2 linked regions of the Elephas maximus indicus genome follow. The protein of the gene in region 1 interacts with the protein of each later gene in a pairwise test. Links are inferred from orthologs where the notes say so. Each region holds a gene or a part of one and is shown on either strand. Other genes may lie near its edges. The genes, in order: HAX1 and IL1A.

Region 1 (8,910 bases):
AGATTGTGTAAAAGGGAAGTCATCTTTGTGCCAACCTTTCAAATCATAAGTGTATAACCTAGCAGCTCCAAGATTCTGGAAAAGCTGTGAGTGAAGCTGCTCTTGGGGTTTGTCTTAGTTCTCTAGTGCTGCTATAACAGAAATACCACAAGTGGATGGGGTTGAATTGGACTGCTCCTGTAATATTTATCTGATGCTGTGGAGGCATGGATTTCAAGCCCCAAAGTGACTCTTCATGAAGAGCAAGACCACTCACGTCTTCAGGAACAGGACTGAATAGAATTTGGGTGGATTGATTTGAAATGAATATTAAAAGTTGATTTCATACCTGTTAGGCTTTGGCACAGAAGTATTTTGAAAACTGTATATGCTAGTGAGGTTTGGCGATATCCCCTTTCCTCAAAAACACGACTCACTTCACTGTCACATACATACTCATGCCTGGAAGGGGCAAGAAAATACTCAGGGAGCTTTTCTGTCATGAGCTTTTATCCCTCAGGACTGACCTGAAGCTGGAAAAACAAACCAAAATTCCCTTGCAGTAATAGAGCTAGAGAGGCTGCAGACATCACCTCCTCCCAGGAATAGGGCCAGGCAGGAAGCTGAGCTAATCCTCCTGTCTGTTTCCTCCTCCCTCAGGTGTATCAGTCACCTCCAGTAACACGGGCGTGCCAGATATCTCGGGTTCTGTGTACTCCAAAACCCAGGTAGGTGCCTGGCTCTGACAGAAGTGTGAAAAAAGAGAGATGGACTTAGATGAGGTAGAGTTTCAGTGAGAGAAGCTCAGTGAACAAGAGCAACCCTAGGAGAAGGATTAGTCCAAAGGACTAATGGACCACAACTGCCACAGCCTCCACCAGACTGAGTCCAGCACAACTAGATGGTGCCTGGTTACCACCACTGACTGCTCTGACAGGGATCACAATAGAGGGTCCCAGATACAGCTGGAGAAAAATGTAGAACAAAATTTTAACTCACACACACACACAAAAAAGACCAGACTTAACTGATCTGACAGTGGAGAAACCCTGAGAGTATGCCCCTTGGAAACCCATTTGGCTCAATAATGAAGTCACTCCTGAGGTTTACCCTTCAGCCAAAGATTAGACAGGCCTATAAAACAAAACGAGATTAAATGGGCACACCAGCCCAGGGGCAAGGACGAGAAGGCAGGAGGGGACAGGAAAGCTGGTAATGGGGAACCCCAGGTTGAAAAGGGGAGAGTGTTGACCTGTCATGGGGTTGAGAACCAATGTCACAGAACAATATGTGTACTAATTGTTTAATGAAAAGCTGTTTGTTCTGTAAACCTTCATGTAAATTACAATTTTAAAAAAAAGCAACCCTAGGAGAAAACCAAAAAAAAAAAAAAACCTGATGCCATCAAGTTGATTCTGAGTCATAGTCATAGCGACCCTATAGGACAGGCTAGAACTACCCCATAGGGCTTCCAAGTAGCAGCTGCTGGATTTGAACTGCCAGACCTTTTGATTAGCTGCCAAGCTCTTAACCACTGGGTCATCAGGGCTACAACCCTAGGAGAGGTGGCAGGACACCCATCCTACTAGAAAATGACTGGTTTTCTCTAGACTTCGGTGCCTCTAAGGAGTTTTTAAATTTAGCCCGCCGGAAAAAAAAAAATGTTATAGTAAGGCAAGGTGTGGCAGATTGTTGTGATGTGTCATGTGATTTACTGTCCTAGCCCTTTACCTCCCTGCTCCCAACCTTTCTCATAACTTTCTGAGAGAGGGAGGATGGAATGAAGGGAAATTAGTTCATCTGTTCTTTGTGAGTAAATCTGTAACAAAGAGTGGGAAAGCAGAAGCCCAGTAACTAAAGTGAGGCATTTGAATGATCCACAGGCTTGTTTGTATAACTTGTGTTACTTTTACTGATAGAAAGTATTTGGGGGAGTGCTTCATGGCCAAGGCCTTCAACCTTCACGTGTATTAGTTTCTTTTGAAATATCTAAGAAGTTCTGATTTTCACGTAGCTCCATGGTGGGGGAACTAAGGGTAGTCAGCAAATTTCAGCTTTCATCTGTGTCATTAGCTTTACAAAGTGCTTTCACGTTTATTCTCTCATTTGATCCTTACAACCGTGAGATCAGTAGCATCCCTGTTTTATGTATCAGGAAACCGAGGCTGAGAGATTGAGTAACTTGCCCAGGATCATTGAAGGGCAGAGCTGGGACTCAGACCCGAATAGCCGACTTTAGGTGCATGTTCCTTCTATGATGCCACTGCTGCCTTCTGAAGGTGGGGAGCTTGGGCTTAGAAATGTCAAGGCTTACTTTGCTGATCCCTTTTACTCTGTCTTTTCCCACCCTCCTGGATAGCAGTCCTTTGAGAAACAAGGTTTTCATTCCGGTACTCCTGCTGCCTCCTTCAACTTGCCTTCAGCCCTAGGAAGTGGGGGGCCCATCAATCCGGCCACAGCTGCTGCCTACCCACCTGCCCCCTTTATGCACATTCTGACCCCCCATCAGCAGCCGCACTCCCAGATCCTTCACCATCACCTGCAGCAGGATGGCCAGGTAATAGCAATTCCTCTTCTCTCCTTTCCCTTCCTCTTCCTTCCTATCCCTTAAAACTGCCTTCCTTTTCCTTCTCTTACCCTTCTTCACCACCACCTTCACCCAGCCCTTCCCAGTGCCAGCCATGGGCACACAGCACATACAGACACAAGCGCACATAACACGAGCGGCCAGCAAAGGAGATGTCAGAGAAGGGGCCAGGTACCTTTTTTGCCCACTTCCTTTGGTGCCTTTCTCCTCCACCTCCTCACATGACACAGTTGTCTTCATCCCATCAGACCTGGGTTACACCTCCCCTCCTGCCTCTCCCAGTCTTCCCCTTTCCCCTGACATTATAGCTTTCCCTTATGATGGTGGAGTTCTATTGTCAAAGTTTGTCCCTTTATTTTCCATATATCCTGGTTCTGCCTCAGCTACCATATTTGCAGATGATTCTCTGTTGCCAGCGCCAGCAGGAGGAGCAGGTAATGAAACTAAATGATGATATGCTTGAACCCACTCCTTTTCAGTCCCCATTTCACCTCCATAGCTTCAGGGAACTTGAAGAGGAAATAGATTGCGCGGTCACAAGTCGGGATACACAAACACGGACACCTTGCTGAGCTCTCTGGCCTCCCTTCCTGTGTCCTTTCCCCTTCCTTAATGCCCTCTTTCTTTCTTTCTACCCTTCGCCCAAACACTTGGTTACCGGAATGGGAAAGATTCTTAGACAGTATTTGGAGCCCTGAGGCTTTAGTCTGTCTCCTGCCTTGTCTGCAGTGGGCTCACAGATGTGATGTGTGGTAGGGGTGAGGAGCTGTGGGATGGCACAGGTGACCTCTCTGTCATAGGTGGCTGGGGAGCTGGAATAAGGGCTTCCTTGCTTTCAAAGATAGCATTCCAAATTGAGGCACTTGGGGGCATCAGTGGAAATGAAATGACTTTATGATCTCTCATCCCGAAGAGGTCATAATTCTCCCCAGATAGCAGCCCTTTGCCAGAGCAGAGAGTGGTGAGGTGGTAGGAAAATGTGGAATTGAAAATGAGTAGAACTATCTTATCTCCAAAAGTATCTTGCCCTCATTTCATCTTTCCGCTATTTAAAGGATGAAAGTGCCTTGCTTGTCAGAGAGGGCCTCTAACAGCTATGTAGAGCAGAACTCCCCATGGCTGACAAGTGAACTTCCTAGTAGTCTCTAAACAAGGGGTATGGGGGAGAGTTCAAGACAACTTCCATATCTCCACCTAAAGATGTCACAAATCTGTCCCACTAACTAGACACCTTTTTCCTCTCCATGATCCTCCCATACCCCTGCAGACGGGCAGCGGGCAACGTAGCCAGACCAGCTCCATCCCGCAGAAGCCCCAGACCAACAAGTCTGCCTACAACAGCTACAGCTGGGGGGCCAACTGAGGCCCTGGCCCTCCTCTTCTCCCGGCCCCATCTTCTGAGAGGGCTCCTCAGCCTGGCTACTATGGAAACAGCATCAAAGAGAGAAAGGAATGTGGGGGGGTTCCACCACCCCCCACCCCCAGCGGCCTACCCCATGCCTCAGCTTTATGTCTGTTCCATTCCCATACCATCCCCACTCTGTTGTATGTATTATAGGATTTGTATTTTTTCCTTTTGTTTTTTTTTTTTCCTCTCTTCCTTTCCTCTTCCTCCTCCCCCCTTGCATTCAAGATTATGAAACTTTGCTGTGGGCCCTGCCCTTCCTTCTCCTCCTCCTGTTCACCCTGGTGGTGTTTGGGTGAGGTGGGAAGAGGGGGCCCCCAAATATATATCAGCCCAACAGCCCTAAGCCTCCTCCTTTATTATTAGGAAAACAAAACAACAAAAAAATGGCGTCATGAATATGAACAGCATCGTCAGATGAATTAGTTGAAGTGTTTTTTTGTTTTTGTTTTTGTTTTTTTGTACTGTGTCCTCAAATTTAATGGATTAATGTGTCTTGTATATATAAAAAGAAAACCTCTACCTTCAGCCTCTGCCCATTCTTGCTCCGTCTAGGATATCCTCAGTCTCGTCGATGACCGGCTTGGTGAATAAGTATTACCGTACCAACTGGGCCTCCTCTAGCAGGCCCCGAAGGCAGTGGAATAAAATGAAATCTTTGCCCTTTAAGAACTCCTCTGACCTTAATGTGCTAGTATCTTGCCCTTGAGGGAATTCCCTTCCCTTCACCCCTAAGAATCTCATAGCCTGATGCCTGGGAAGAACCACCACAAGTCTTCATTTTCTCCAGAAACTACATCTACAGCAGATTTCAGGCAATGAGGGGAAAAGGACAGAGGAGATGGGGGGGTGGAAAGGGTCTTAGAGGAGCTGAGACCATTTCAAAGAGGGAAATGGCATTGTGGGGTCAAAGTATAACTTCAACAGGTCCAGGCAAATGAAAGAAGTGAGAGCAACATGCACTGTTGGCTGGGGCACCACCCCCCTGGGAGTAAAACACAAAACTTATTGCCTCTTGGGTGGTTCATGTCACACCCAGTCCCTTGAAAAGGAGTCAAGGTCAGGATGGAGGAGGAGGGTGAGACGTTGAAGAGTCTGTGATATGAAAAGGAATACTTACAGCCCCAAATCCTTTCTTCCCTCCCAGGACGCCTCACTAGCTTCCCTTCCCTTGCTCCCTTACAAATCCAGTTTGCTGCTGGTTGCAAAGCCTGCTTGGGAAAACCAAGTATCCTTAATGACATTTTTGGTGGCTGGAGAGATGGAGGAAATAAGTCCATGCGTCCCCATATCTTAACTGGGAGAATTCAGAACATTTTGTCCGTTCCTCTCAGACTTAAACAAGCCCGAGAAAGGGAGCGGGGTGACTTGTGGCTTCCCTGGGTGTGTTCAGCCAGGGATGAGGGAGGGCCTTGGGCTCGTTATTTGTGCGATTGGACTGTCCCCTGGCGGCCATAGCCGTATACAATCAAGAGTCCAATCTTAGAAACACCTTTTAGGCTTAGGCTGGTCAGCAGGAAGGAGAGTCTGACGTCGGACGCAGGTGGCCATTGGGAAATAGGAATTCGGTAGCACGCACCCGCTTCACAAGAAACTGGTCTGAAAAAGTGAGGTAAAAGGTAAAAGCCGTTCGAATTTGAGGAGGCCCGTCCGCCCCGCCTCCCCTTCCAGGTCCGGCTTACGGTCGTTTTACGACAGTATCTGGGTTGCAGCCTTGCTTTCCGGCAGCGTGGTGTGACGTTTCGCCCACCTTCCGTCAGCGAAGCGCCGGCTGCCTACTGGTGCGAATGGGTCGTGGGTGGCGTTCAAAGGTTCGAATCCCAGTACGGGAATGAGCCTCTTTGACCTCTTCCGGGGCTTTTTCGGCTTTTCTAGACCTCGGAGGTGAGCGTGGGTCCGGGTCGGACAAGGGGGGGAATCTTCTGAGGGGACTTTGGCCCTTGACACCCTCTATTTGGAAAAACATCCTCTTGCCCACACTTTTAACTGCGGAGAAGATCGAAGTCGCAACATTCAGTACTCACCTTGCGACAGTAACCAAGGCAGTCGTTAAGTGGAGGAAAAACGGCAACCTAAGCCTTTCTCCAACCTGGGGTGATGCAACAGGCGCCCGGGCGGGGAAGAAAATGGGGATCTGGGGGTAAGGACGATGAGCAAGTGAGCATAACCTTGGCATGCGGGGAGAGGCTGGCAGACACTGGAGACAAGGCGGTGGGAAGGAGATTGGGGTAAACTGAGAGATGAGGATTGACTTTAATAAGAGCTATACAAAAATACTAGCAGCTGTTATGCTTCCGAGACCCCTGTTCTTGTCTCACTTTTCTAAGTACTTGCTGGTGCTGAAATCTTGGTGGCCAATCTGCCCCCACCCCCAGCCACAGAGATCCCTTTTTTGGAGGAATGACTCGAGATGAAGATGAGGATGATGAGGAAGAAGAAGAAGAAGGAGCCACATGGGGCTATGGGAGCCCCAGGTTTGGGGAGCCCCAGCCCCCAGAAGAATTTGGCTTCAGCTTCAGCCCAGGAGGAGGGATGCGTTTCCATCGTAATTTCGGCTTTGATGACCTAGTACGGGATTTCAATAGCATCTTCAGTGAGATGGAGGCCTGGACCTTGCCTTCTCGCCCTCCTGGTGTGTGGCTGCCCTTGAGGGAGAACTTGTGGGTTCTAATGGGTTGGTGGGTGAAATAAGGAGCCTGCAGGGAGTAGTTTGGGGTGGAAAGTGTGAGAAGACTGATGACTTCAGGGAGATTTAAAGAGCCCAAGTCCTCTTCCACTGCCAACATTGACCTGCCACTTTCTGTAGAACTTCTAGGTCCTGAGTCAGAGACAGCTGGTGAGAGACAGCGGAAGGGAGAGACACTTCGGGACTCAATGCTTAAGTATCCAGATAGCCACCAGCCCAGGATCTTTGGGGGGGTCTTGGAGAGTGATGCAGGGACTGAATCCTCAAAACCAGTACCAGACTGGGGCTCCCAGAGACCTTTTCATAGGGTGAGTATCCCATCTGGCCCTGACGTGAGAACCTGTGAAAACAACTGATAGTGTGCAGAGACTGGAATCTTTGATGGAATCTGATAAACTTGAGTTGGCATCCTAGACCGTCCACTTAGCTTATTTATCTGTTTTCTATAATAGCTTCTTGTAGGATTTTCTTTGTGGAGGGGGGGTGGTGGTGAAAATGGGAGTTCTACTGTCTCTCTTTTTTAAAAAAAAATGAAAATCACTGGCCCAGAGGAATTGTTGGGGGAAGACTGGGAAGGATCAGGTCAGGAAGGCTTCTTGGTACAGGAATACATAAAACAGCCAGGAAAGAGGAAGTAGTAAGGAAGTAGACCTGTACTGAATGGGATTCTTCTTCCTGCGGAAAGGTGGTTTTGGAACTTGGTAGTGTTTTGGGTCTGTGACCTTTCAGGTTTCACATTGAAAAGATATTTTTCACCTACTTTGGATTCTTCAGCAGTTTGATGATGTGTGGCCTGTGACCCCCCATCCTAGAGCCCGAGAGGACAATGGTGAGTCTAGAAGGAGGGGACATTCACTAGCCCTCTGTTGTTCTCCTGAAGTTCCCTCTGCTTTCCCTCCCTGAATCTTCTTCATGTCACAGTTCTCCTTTCTTTTCCCTTGTATTATGCCTCTCCTGTTCCTTCATCTCTCTGCCTTTCCAGATCTGGATTCCCAAGTTTCCCAGGAGGGCCTTGGCCCGGTTCTACAGCCCCGGCCTAGATCCTATTTCAAGAGCGTCTCTGTGACCAAGATCACTAAGCCAGATGGGGTGAGCTGGGGGAGAGGGTTAAAGGGAACTGTGGCTAGGGGCTGCCATGAAAACAGATCCATGTATAGAAAGCACCAAACTCACTTTTAGTGAATGGTGGGGACTTCTCCTTATAGACAGTGGAGGAGCACCGGACTGTGGTGGACAGTGAGGGCCGGACAGAGACCACAGTAATACGGCAAGAAGCAGATGGCAGTCCTAGAGATGGTAAGTGAAGAGTATGAACCAAAGGGGTCCATTTCTTAACAACTTTAGGAGGGGAAACTTTCTCCTAACCTTAATTATTCTTCTCCTTTGTCCCTGCCTAGTCTCTCTCATTTAGCCTATTTATGTGTATAACTTTCTTGCCTAGATCAAGAATCACCAAGATCTTCAGCCCTGGATGATACCTCTTCCATCCTGGATTTATTCCTAGGACGATGGTTCCGGTTCCGGTAGACTTGTTAACCCTCAGAGGCCTTCAGGTCCTTTCTGTCTCCCACCTGTAACCCACCACCAATGGGCTTAGTTTCTCTTGCCACACCAGGGGCTTGGGTGTAGGGAGCAGAGAACTGGGGGTATGTCAGTATGTCACTCACCTAAACTGACCAATAAAACCTTTATTTATGCTAATTCCTCAGTCTTGGTTTTGTCAAGGCTGTGTCACTTTCTAGCACTATGCAGGACTTCCCAAATTACCTTGGACCACAACCTTAGCCTTATTTCTTAATTTTTTGTGCCACTTGCAGAACCTGATTTGTTAGGTAAGAGTCAGATGTCAGTAAAAAGTGATTTTCCTTACTGAGGAGATAACTAGAAATAATTCCTAGAAATTTTCCAGAAGGGGATGATACATCAGATTCCAAAGAAGGAAGAGGGGAGTGTGGAAGTGGGGGATAACTGTTGCCCTAAGTGTGGTATCACTGTGACTGGATAGTTCATAAGATAATTAGAGGAAATATATGGGCAAATATTTCTTGATTTACTGGCTAAGTTTTTGTTTTAATGTGTGTTAGAGAAAATATAACTAGCATAATATCCACCCTTATTCTCCTGAAGTTCACTTTGTTCTCCCTCCAACACATTAGAGTAAAAAGTAAAATATTTTCCTCATTAAAAAAGTTTTTGGTACTATGGTTAAAGATGGCAGATTTTACAAATGTATTTACTTCCATTCCTTCTGAA
Region 2 (9,263 bases), on another chromosome or scaffold:
TTGAAAAAAGAAAAACTAAAATCAAAAACACCAAAATATTAATAGTGATTATCTGGAGTCCCTGGGTGGTACAAATGGATAATGTGCTCAACTGTAACCAAAACGTTGGAGATTCAAGTCCAGCCAGACATGCCTCAGGAAAAAGGCCCAGAGATCTACCTTCAAAAAAATCAGTCATTGAAAATCCCGTATAGCACAATTAAGTCTGTTCTGACACACATGGGGTCGACGTGAGTGAAAGTTGACTCAACGGCTACCGGTACTGGTGTCTCTAGTTATTATTTGTGGGTTTTACTTTCTTCTGCATATCTTTATATAACCCTAGAAATATTTAATAAAACATGTATTAGAATCCAAAAAATAATAAGTTAAAAAAAAAAAAACAACTGAGAAACAAGTTTAGATCACAAATAACTATGACTCTAATGAGAAAAATAAAGGAAAAAAAAAAAGGAAAGGGGATTTCTAAAAAGTGCATTTCGGATCAGACAATCACAACACCCCAGGAAGAAGGAGAAGTGAGGGACAGGCATGGACATGGCTGTAACCACACAGGAAGCAGTCTGGCGAACTCTGATTTTGTCAAGAGCATCTGTGAAAGATGGGAAAAGGGCACGTACCCAAGGGAGGAGGCAAAGAGGGGACACAGTCCTGTAAAGCACCACTTCAAGAGAAGAGAGGAAGGGGATTTAGGAAGAAAAGTATATAAATTAGGGAACAAATGATTAATTAAAGATAGGAGAAGGAAACACTGCTCACTGGGGATTTGCTGACTGAATAGCAGGCTTCAACCTACGTGAACTTCACCACCTGCTCCCAGCCAAGGCAGCCCTCTGCTCTTCGAGCTCCCAGAGCACTTGCTGCCTCTGGTACACAAGCCAGAGTGAAGAGAGCAAGGCCAGTTTTCATGTACGCTTTGTGAATACATTCTCTTCACTCCGTGTAATTCCTATCCTTCGTCTACTGCTTTATAATCTAGAAATTGTTTTCACGCACAAGAGCGATCTTTTAAAAGTACAAAGCTGCTTATGTCACCCATACGTACAACCCTTGTGGTTGTTCTTGTTGTTATGTGCGGTCCCATTAAACTTTGGATAAAGACCTTAGCTGGGCCTACACGAGGCCCTGCCTGTCTGGTGCTTGCCTTCCTCTCCATCCTTATCTTGCCACCTCCTCTCACCCCCTGCTGCAGCCTCAATGGTGTACTTTCACTTCTTTGATCCCCATAACCTTTGCTCAGCCTGGAATATTCCCTCTTCCCTCCCCATTGTACTATCCATTCCCAGTCTAAGACCAGCTCCTCTGTGACATGACTTACTGTATTTGCTTGTCCATACATACTGTTTGGGGAGATTATTGATTAATGTCTTCACTGTCAGCTTCCATGAAAACAGGAACCATAGCTGGTTTTGCTTACTTGATGGGGTTTCATTGTTTTTAATTCCTTTTTTATTTACAGGTGAGGAGCCATATTAAAAAAAAAAAAATTTTTTTTTAGAAGAGATTATATCTTCACTTTTCCTCTGTTCACTGAAGAGCCAGTGTTAGTAGGTAATAAGATATTTTGAACTAGAAGTCAAGAAATAGTGAGCTTCAATTTTAGTTCTTGCTCTCATATGAATTCTTCATGTGACCATGGGGTAGTACGTCCTCCCTCTGAGACTATTTCCTCTTTTTTAAGAATTTGAACTTGATGGTATCTGAGGTGCGTCCTTCTCTAAAATATAATTCTAGGTCCTTCAATAGACTAACAACAGAAGGCAGAAGAATTAAACATTAATTTAAGGGAACAAAGGAAAGGAAGAGGCTACACTAAGGAAAAGAGAAGGCCTCCTGTTTGGTTGACTGCATACTAGCTCTGGTGTCTGAAACCCATTTCAGCAATTTGATAACTTTGTGATCCTGAGCAGATTGCTTAATCTCTCTGAACCTCGATATCCTCATCTATAAAATGTGATAAGAACACCTACCTCACAGGTAGGATCAGAGGATTAAATGAGATAATGTATTACAGCACCTGGAACACAGTAGACGATGTTGTGCCCTTTCCTCCCTCCCCTTCACCATCATAGAATTTAAAAGCAGATTATAATTAAATAGAGCATGAGTTGAGACTAAAGGCCCAATTGTCTCTGTAAGCAATGGCTTATGCATTGTTTATTCCTCTGAAGAGGCTTTATACCGCCCAAAAATTAATGAATGCATGTCCTGGAAATTCACAGAGAAAAGTCTTGTTTCTCTCTGCATTCAAGTGATTCTGTTAGATTCAATCATATGCAATGATTCTAAAGTTGGTCTAAAAATGTTTACAAGCATTTCCTGTCTTCCTGGTACAATGGCAAGAACAAGACTCGGGTTCCCATCCAGGCTCCACTCCTGACCATGTGCTCAATACCTTCCTCCTGTTCCTGTATGTCACAGAACAAAATGAGATTAGGGAAGAAAGGGAAATATATTTCAAATCTTCTCTTTTTTTATCTTTTTTTTTTTTTTTTAACAAGAGTCCAAAATCACCAAATAGAGTGTTTGAGGTGGGAAAGACCTTAAGAATGATCTGTTTCGGCCCTGTCACTTGGTATTGGTGGTGAGAAGAGACTCAGAAACCAGAGTTCAAGTACTGGTTCTGTCAGTTTTGTGATCTTAGATTAGTCACTTAACCTGTTCAAGGGTCCTCAGCAAAGAAAAATGGATAATAATAGCTACCTCTTACAGATGCAATGAGAAGTCAGTAAGGCATAGCAGTTAAGAGCTCTTTGTGAACTCTAAAGCAGTTTCAAATGAAAAGCATCATCATGATTCTTTGGACGTACCATCTCTCACCTGGTAAAGCATATCCACTAACTTGCCAACATCCATCATCTCATCTTGCATATCTAATTTTTTGAATCACGAAAGAAAAACACCGGTGCCTAACAAAATGCCTGGCATGGAATAAGTGCACAATAATTTTTTCTGAATGATTTTTGTAAAAATAACTCAAGAAGGGCTTTTCATGGTCTCCTGAGAGCCAAGAAGTATGTACATGAAGACACTGAGAGCTCCTGTCATAGGACAGCCCACCCCCTACATATCCTAGACTCCATTAGAGATACACCAAGTGTATTCTTCTCTCCACTCCTTAGAAAGATGTGGTCTTAGAGGTAAGCAAGGTTACTTACAGGTCAGCCTCCTTCACCCTCGTGCAAACAAGGCTCCCAAAAACAAAGCAAGGGCCTCTCCCACCCTGAACTTTATCCACCTTGTTTTTCCTTGAAAAACCAAGTCCAAGGAGGTCAAGTGAAGGAAAATGTTGGGAGATACCCCAACCTGAGTTAGCTTTCTAGAGAAAACTAAACTCTTTTTGAGAAACTCAACAACCACTTTTGGGGATTTCTTTACAGTGGAGGAGCGATAAAGGCCAGGACGGACGTTGCTGCTGATGGTGGAAGCAAGGGTGATTTCCTGGATTACCAAAAAGGTGGTATGCTTTGCTCCCACGGGCTAAATAAATGCCTTCAGGGATTCAATAATGACCTTCAACTGGAATTTTTCTCCCTGTTGAAGTTTTCAAGCTCATATTTTCCTAAGAACTATATCCTCTTCAGTGAACCAAGGCGTTACAACTGGAGCCATCATTAGTGTCATTATTTGTGTAGCAGCCCACATTCACAATGTGCTTTGAAATTGTTTCTTAATAATAGTCCTAACAAGATGCACCAGAGGCAGAGCGGGTGACTAGGATTAACATTTCTGTATTGCCTGAAGGGGAACTAAATGTGAAGAGTTGACTGTCATCCTTGTTCACCCAAGGGTCAATCCAAAGACACCCAAACTCTGTCTCAACTTGATCCTACATTTAGAGTACCTTCTTCCAGGGTGCCAGTTGTTTCTGTGGCTCTTGTTTATAACTATTACAACACCAAGTCTACAACCAGGAGGAACTGGGCTACTGAGAGAGTAAGCAACAGAATCAAAGATTTTTGCAGTTATAATAGACCTGATTGATCATCTAACCAAGTCCAATATTCTCAGTTAAACAGTCCCAGAGAGTTTACCAAACTCGCACAAACCACCCCACTTCCAGTTCTGTGATTTTTTTGCCTTTTTATATCATGTTTTATACCATATGTATCAAAGGCCTCACCTTTCTCTCTCTGCTTTTTCTCTCCTCTGCCCTTTTCTTCCATCCATTTACTTTACTTAAATTTGTGTGGTTCAAACTCCCACTAAGAAACCTGAAACATTCATCTGCTAAGCAGCCTGGTGTTTTATCACCTGAACTGGGCTGGCCTCAGGATACCAAAAAGCCTTTAATAGTAACAATGAGACATCACTGATGTAACCTCCCTCAGCCTCCTTTTGAGGTCCCTGAGTCCCCCAGTTCCCCGAGGATGTCCTGTTGGCTGCACTGCAGACTTGTAAGATACTGCTGCTGAGACCCCAGCCACTGGTCTCTGCCCAGGGTCTTACCCGCTCCTCCCCAAGGGTGCAGCTACCCTTACACACCATGGGTTGATCCTGGAGAAGCCCAGGCTTCTCTTTGGGTTCTGGCAGAGGCCTGCTTTGCTGAGACATGGCTAGGGCAGGGAGTTCTCTGTCACCTCTGTCAGAAATGAGTTGACAGTATTCAGAGGAGCAAAGGATTAAAACTTTTGTGGTCAAATATCACTTCTCTATTCTGCCTAACCAGGAGATCATCACCTCCTGCTCAGAGTGATTTATGTCTTATTTAAGCAAACCTCTCTCCAAGAAAGATGTGTCATCAGTTCCCTTTCAGCCTGCGCACAATAAACAAATGAAGCCAAGACACCCACTACAGCTACTAAGCCCCCTCCAACGCTAACCACTGTAACTTCCTCCCCTCACTGCATATTTTTAGAAGCTTAATACGTTTTCTGCTCTTCTTCCCTTTTTCTAAGACTGCATGTTTATAATTGTATAGAGCAAAGCAATAAGTCAATAAGCCTAGTGAATAAAAAAAAAGTCCTGGGATCTCTGCAAATAATTTGGCAATACCATCAACTATACAATCTGTCTTATTTTAGCCAGTATCAAGTTGATTCAAAAAGAATTCTCTCCTGTAAATTCCCTGGTGACGTAGTCATTGCCACACCTACTTAAGACAAGACAATTACAAAAGGCGAAGCAGCCTGACTCGGTCTTAGTTCTCCTGGCAGAGAAGGAATCACTTCATTGGCGCTCCAGTCGGCAAAGGTATCGTCCTTATCACGTGTTTCTCTTTTTAAATATTTTTTGTTTTTTTTCTTGGCTGCTGTCTCTCAAACTGCCTTCTATGAAGCAATAACCTCTCTCTTCCTTTCTTGTCCCTCCCTGGTTTGGGATGTGAGCGAGAATCACAGTCAGATCTCAGAAAATCTCTCATTCTGCTGGGGAACCCCAAGGACAGAGGAATTGGCTTCTTATGAGGGCGTTGGTGGGCACATCTGAGCCTTCCCTCTGAAGGAAATTTCTCTACCAAAAATTATCAGGAAAAGAGCTGGAAATTTCCACCTGTCTTTCTCTTACATCTGTGTAAGATAAATATCTCATTCTGGTGACTTTTAGTTCCCTCGATGCCTGCTATGTGCAGTGCATTGGGCTGGGCATGTAAGGGATACCAAGATAAATAAAACAGATTCTAAAAAGGCTACAGTCCAGTGAAGGAGGTAGGTATAAATAAAAACAGAGCGAGAGAGTGAACAAGAAGAATAGGGGAAATGCTGAGTGTGGGCTAAGTCAATTCAGTCAAGTCTCCCAAGAAACATAGAGTGGAGTTGGCTCCATCTGATTCAAAGGTTGGCTGAGCCGACAGCCAGTGTTCTCTGTTGCAGAAAATCAAGATGGCCAAAGTTCCTGACCTGTTTGAAGACCTGAAGGACTGTTACAGGTAAGAAATAGATTCTATCTCTTGTGATTTAACAAAGGGATCAAGTCTCATTAGAATCCCGCTAGGAGTTACGGTGACCAACATGGGGTCAGATCAGCAGAGAGTGTGGAGAACACTACTTCTGAATTCTGTGCAAGTTCAGCTGAAGACTCAGGGAAATCAAGCATCCAGCGTGTTAAACTGAGATTGCACTGACAGGGAGACAGTCATTTTAGAAAAATGATTTTTGAAGTCTACCGAGTTCTACACGAATTTCAACATCTACTTAAGCACAGCCCCAATTGAGCTCAATGCCCTGATACAGTAATGGGTTTTCATGGATGAGAAAGAAGCCATTCTCATGCAAACTTCTTATCCCAATCAGGATCAGGAGTTGGCTACACAGCAATTCGAGCTTGTGAATGCACACACACACTCAAACTTCATTCAGACATAGGAGAAAGATAAAGAAATAAAAAATTGAAATTACAGAACATTTTAAACACTTATGGCATTCTCACTACCTATAACATACACTAATACAAACTAGCCTATCAAAATGCTACCTGAATATTTTGCCAAATATAAATTATTAAATCTACTTTGTAGAACCCAGGAAAACAATGTGCAACATATGATTAAACATTTGGTTTAAAAAAATGGAGATGTTTCAAAAGTTTTTCTTTTCTCTTGAGGAACTTAACATTTTTTCCTGACGTTCAATAAAAACTCTTTAATTTGTTAGCCAAACCCAGTTTTTATAGATGAAGCACAGGTAAAGTCCAAGCCCTGTCCTGATTATTCCTAACTGCAAATTAGTACGGAATGAATTACTGTATGTATGTGTGTGTCTAGAAGTCCTTTAATTTTCAAAGATGACAGTAATGTCCAAGTGTGTGTGTTACCCAAAGCTAATGTGGTCATTAAAATAAGTTGCCCAGTGACCGTAGGGAAATAAACAGAATTACATTCTCATCATCTTGTTTTGACAGTGAAAATGAAGAATACAGTTCCAACAATGACACCCTCTCTCTGATTCAGGTAAGCAAATGATTGCAACTCCTAGGGCACTGGTATTTTTATACAGTAGTTTCTCACCAGGAGAGAATAATGACTTGGGCCGTCGATACTTTTGTTTTACATCCACTAAAGGTCCAGAAACTTGCATTTCTTCATTACAAGTGAGACCAGCTGCCTCTCTAAACTAACAGTTAATGGCATTCCTCATGCTCACCACCTTGCCCAGAACAGAGCAGAACTTTCCTGAAGCCACAAGGACCACAGCCTCCTGGGTCAGGCTTCATCAGAACATCAGTTATGCCATCCTGAAGCAGCCCCTTCAGGTCACTTCACTAGGTGTCTGTCTCCTAAAGTGAGGTTAGGTAGAGCCCTCCAAACATAATAGCCCATGAAGTAGAAGAAGCAGACCAATTGAAAGTGAGAAATCTGCAGCCACTCACCTGGAGTCCACAAGTAGGTGGGATAAGTTCTGCCGTGTGTATTTCTGGTACCGACTGCCAAAGCTGTTCTCAGAGGAACATTTCTAAAGCAGAGGTCAAGCAGAGATTACCATAACCTCCTGAGCAGGAACCAATTTGAAGACTACCACTCACGAAGATCGCTTGTTAACCTATTTTATTACAATATCTCAGTTGTGAGTCCTTGCACATGGATGACAAAGTCTCGCCCAAGAGATCACATCCTTTTAGGGACATCCTAGAAGAAAGAAAGGGAGGGAAGCAAGGAGGGAAGGGAGGAAGAAAGAGAAAAGCGAGGAAGGTAGGAGGGAGGGAAGGAGCAGGAGAAGACTGATGAAACATAGGTTACCCAAGACCAAAATGGAGACCCTTCTCACTAAGTCAGTTGGACAAGATTCCTACTGAAAAGTGTGTCATTCATTCCACAGCCATGGCAGCCTCTCAGTATCCATTTTCTTCTTTACAGAAATCCTTCTATGATGCAAACTATGGCCCACTTCAGGAGGTCTGCATGGATAAATTTATGTCACTGAGTACCTCTGAAACCTCTAAGATAGCCAAACCTGCCTTCAAGGAGAGTGTGGCAGTGGTGTCAGCCACAGGGAAGATTCTGAAGAAGAGACGACTAAGTTTAAATCAGCCCATCACTGATGAAGACCTGGAGGCCATTGCCAATGATCCAGAAGAAGGTAAGAGGTCAAGCCAATCATGTCCATTTTTAAATAAATAGGGACAATAGAGTATTAAGGGAAATAAAACTTAGAGTAGCAGAAGGGCAACCAGACCTTAGTCCAGTAACATAAGGAAGGAAAATTAATTTTTCTCCTTCTCTAAAGCAGAGACAGCAGCAGTGACCTGAGTGTAGAATACTTGCCCACAGGCTCATTTACTGATCGTATTATAAAGCTCGTGTGACTTTTAGCCTTTCAGGGGGAAAAGTAACTATATACTGTTAGTGGGTGACCACTTACAAGATATGTTCCTCCATTCACTAGTTATGCTCCCGTGGCCAAGTTATTAAACCTTTCTCTACTGTAAAATGGAGATAATCAGAGTTTTTACCTCACTGTATTATCATGAAGATTAAATGAGTGAACACCCCCCAACTCCTGGACTAGAATAATGCCTGGTGCATAGTACCCAAAAAAACCAAACCAAACCCATTGCCACTGAGTCGATTCCAACTCATAGCAACTCTATAGGACAGAGTAGAACTGCCCCATAGGGTTTCCAAGGAGCACCTGGTGGATTTGAACTGCCGACCTTTTAGTTAGCAGCCATAGTTCTTAACCACTGTGCCAACAGGTTTTCCTGGTAAGCACCCAAAAAATGTCAGCTATTATTATCGCAATTATTCCTTTGTTGTTATTACTACTACTACAGTTAATACTTCTATTAATACCACCAATACTACATTAATTTATTAATGCCTGAATTATATATAAACCTCACAATAACCCTACATTCTCATTTGACATGTGAGAAAAGTAAGCTCGGCGAGATAAGTGACCTGCCCAAAGACATGCAGCCTGTAAGTGGGAGAGTTCCAAATCAAATTCAGTTCTACCTGACTTAAAAAAAAAAAAATGATTTTTCTCTCATGCCTTTACTGTACAAGCCTCCACATGTAACATAAACCCATTATTCCTGTTTTTAAGATAACATCTAAACAAAAATGCATGTACACCTAGGAAGTTGAAAAATGCAAGAAAATATTTTTTTAAAAAAATCAAAATCACTCATACTACCACTCAAGAGTTTACCACTGCCAACACTATGGTATACTTCCTTAAAGTATTTTCTATACACATACACATACATAAACAAACGTGTTTGTTATTAGGATCACACTATATACAATTTTATATCTGGCCCTTTTCACGTAGCAACGTGTCAAGGACATTTTGGAGTGCCAATTTTTCAGCAGTGTAAGTGACGTG

Evidence for each region.
Region 2: the proteins of HAX1 (region 1) and IL1A interact in binary tests that used the Homo sapiens proteins (3 or more experiments, as listed by UniProt). The link is inferred for Elephas maximus indicus from reciprocal best matches to the Homo sapiens genes HAX1 and IL1A.

The regions. Positions count from the first base shown.
Region 1 is NC_064821.1:192,032,058-192,040,967, forward strand, and holds the start of HAX1 (HCLS1-associated protein X-1), read left to right. Parts: upstream 1-5,495; 5' UTR 5,496-5,802; coding exon 5,803-5,855; intron 5,856-5,878; exon of another isoform or gene 5,879-6,097; coding exon of another isoform or gene 6,098-6,111; intron 6,112-6,346; coding exon 6,347-6,603; intron 6,604-6,777; coding exon 6,778-6,965; intron 6,966-7,431; coding exon 7,432-7,486; intron 7,487-7,639; coding exon 7,640-7,746; intron 7,747-7,862; coding exon 7,863-7,953; intron 7,954-8,098; coding exon 8,099-8,184; 3' UTR 8,185-8,910. Other genes in the region: UBAP2L (ubiquitin-associated protein 2-like), read left to right, coding at 640-707, 2,339-2,536, 2,950-3,000, 3,834-3,929. UniProt on the Homo sapiens protein: Recruits the Arp2/3 complex to the cell cortex and regulates reorganization of the cortical actin cytoskeleton via its interaction with KCNC3 and the Arp2/3 complex. Slows down the rate of inactivation of KCNC3 channels. Promotes GNA13-mediated cell migration.
Region 2 is NC_064835.1:42,084,073-42,093,335, reverse strand, and holds the start of IL1A (interleukin-1 alpha), read left to right. Parts: upstream 1-5,819; coding exon 5,820-5,866; intron 5,867-6,837; coding exon 6,838-6,886; intron 6,887-7,789; coding exon 7,790-8,012; intron 8,013-9,263. UniProt on the Homo sapiens protein: Cytokine constitutively present intracellularly in nearly all resting non-hematopoietic cells that plays an important role in inflammation and bridges the innate and adaptive immune systems.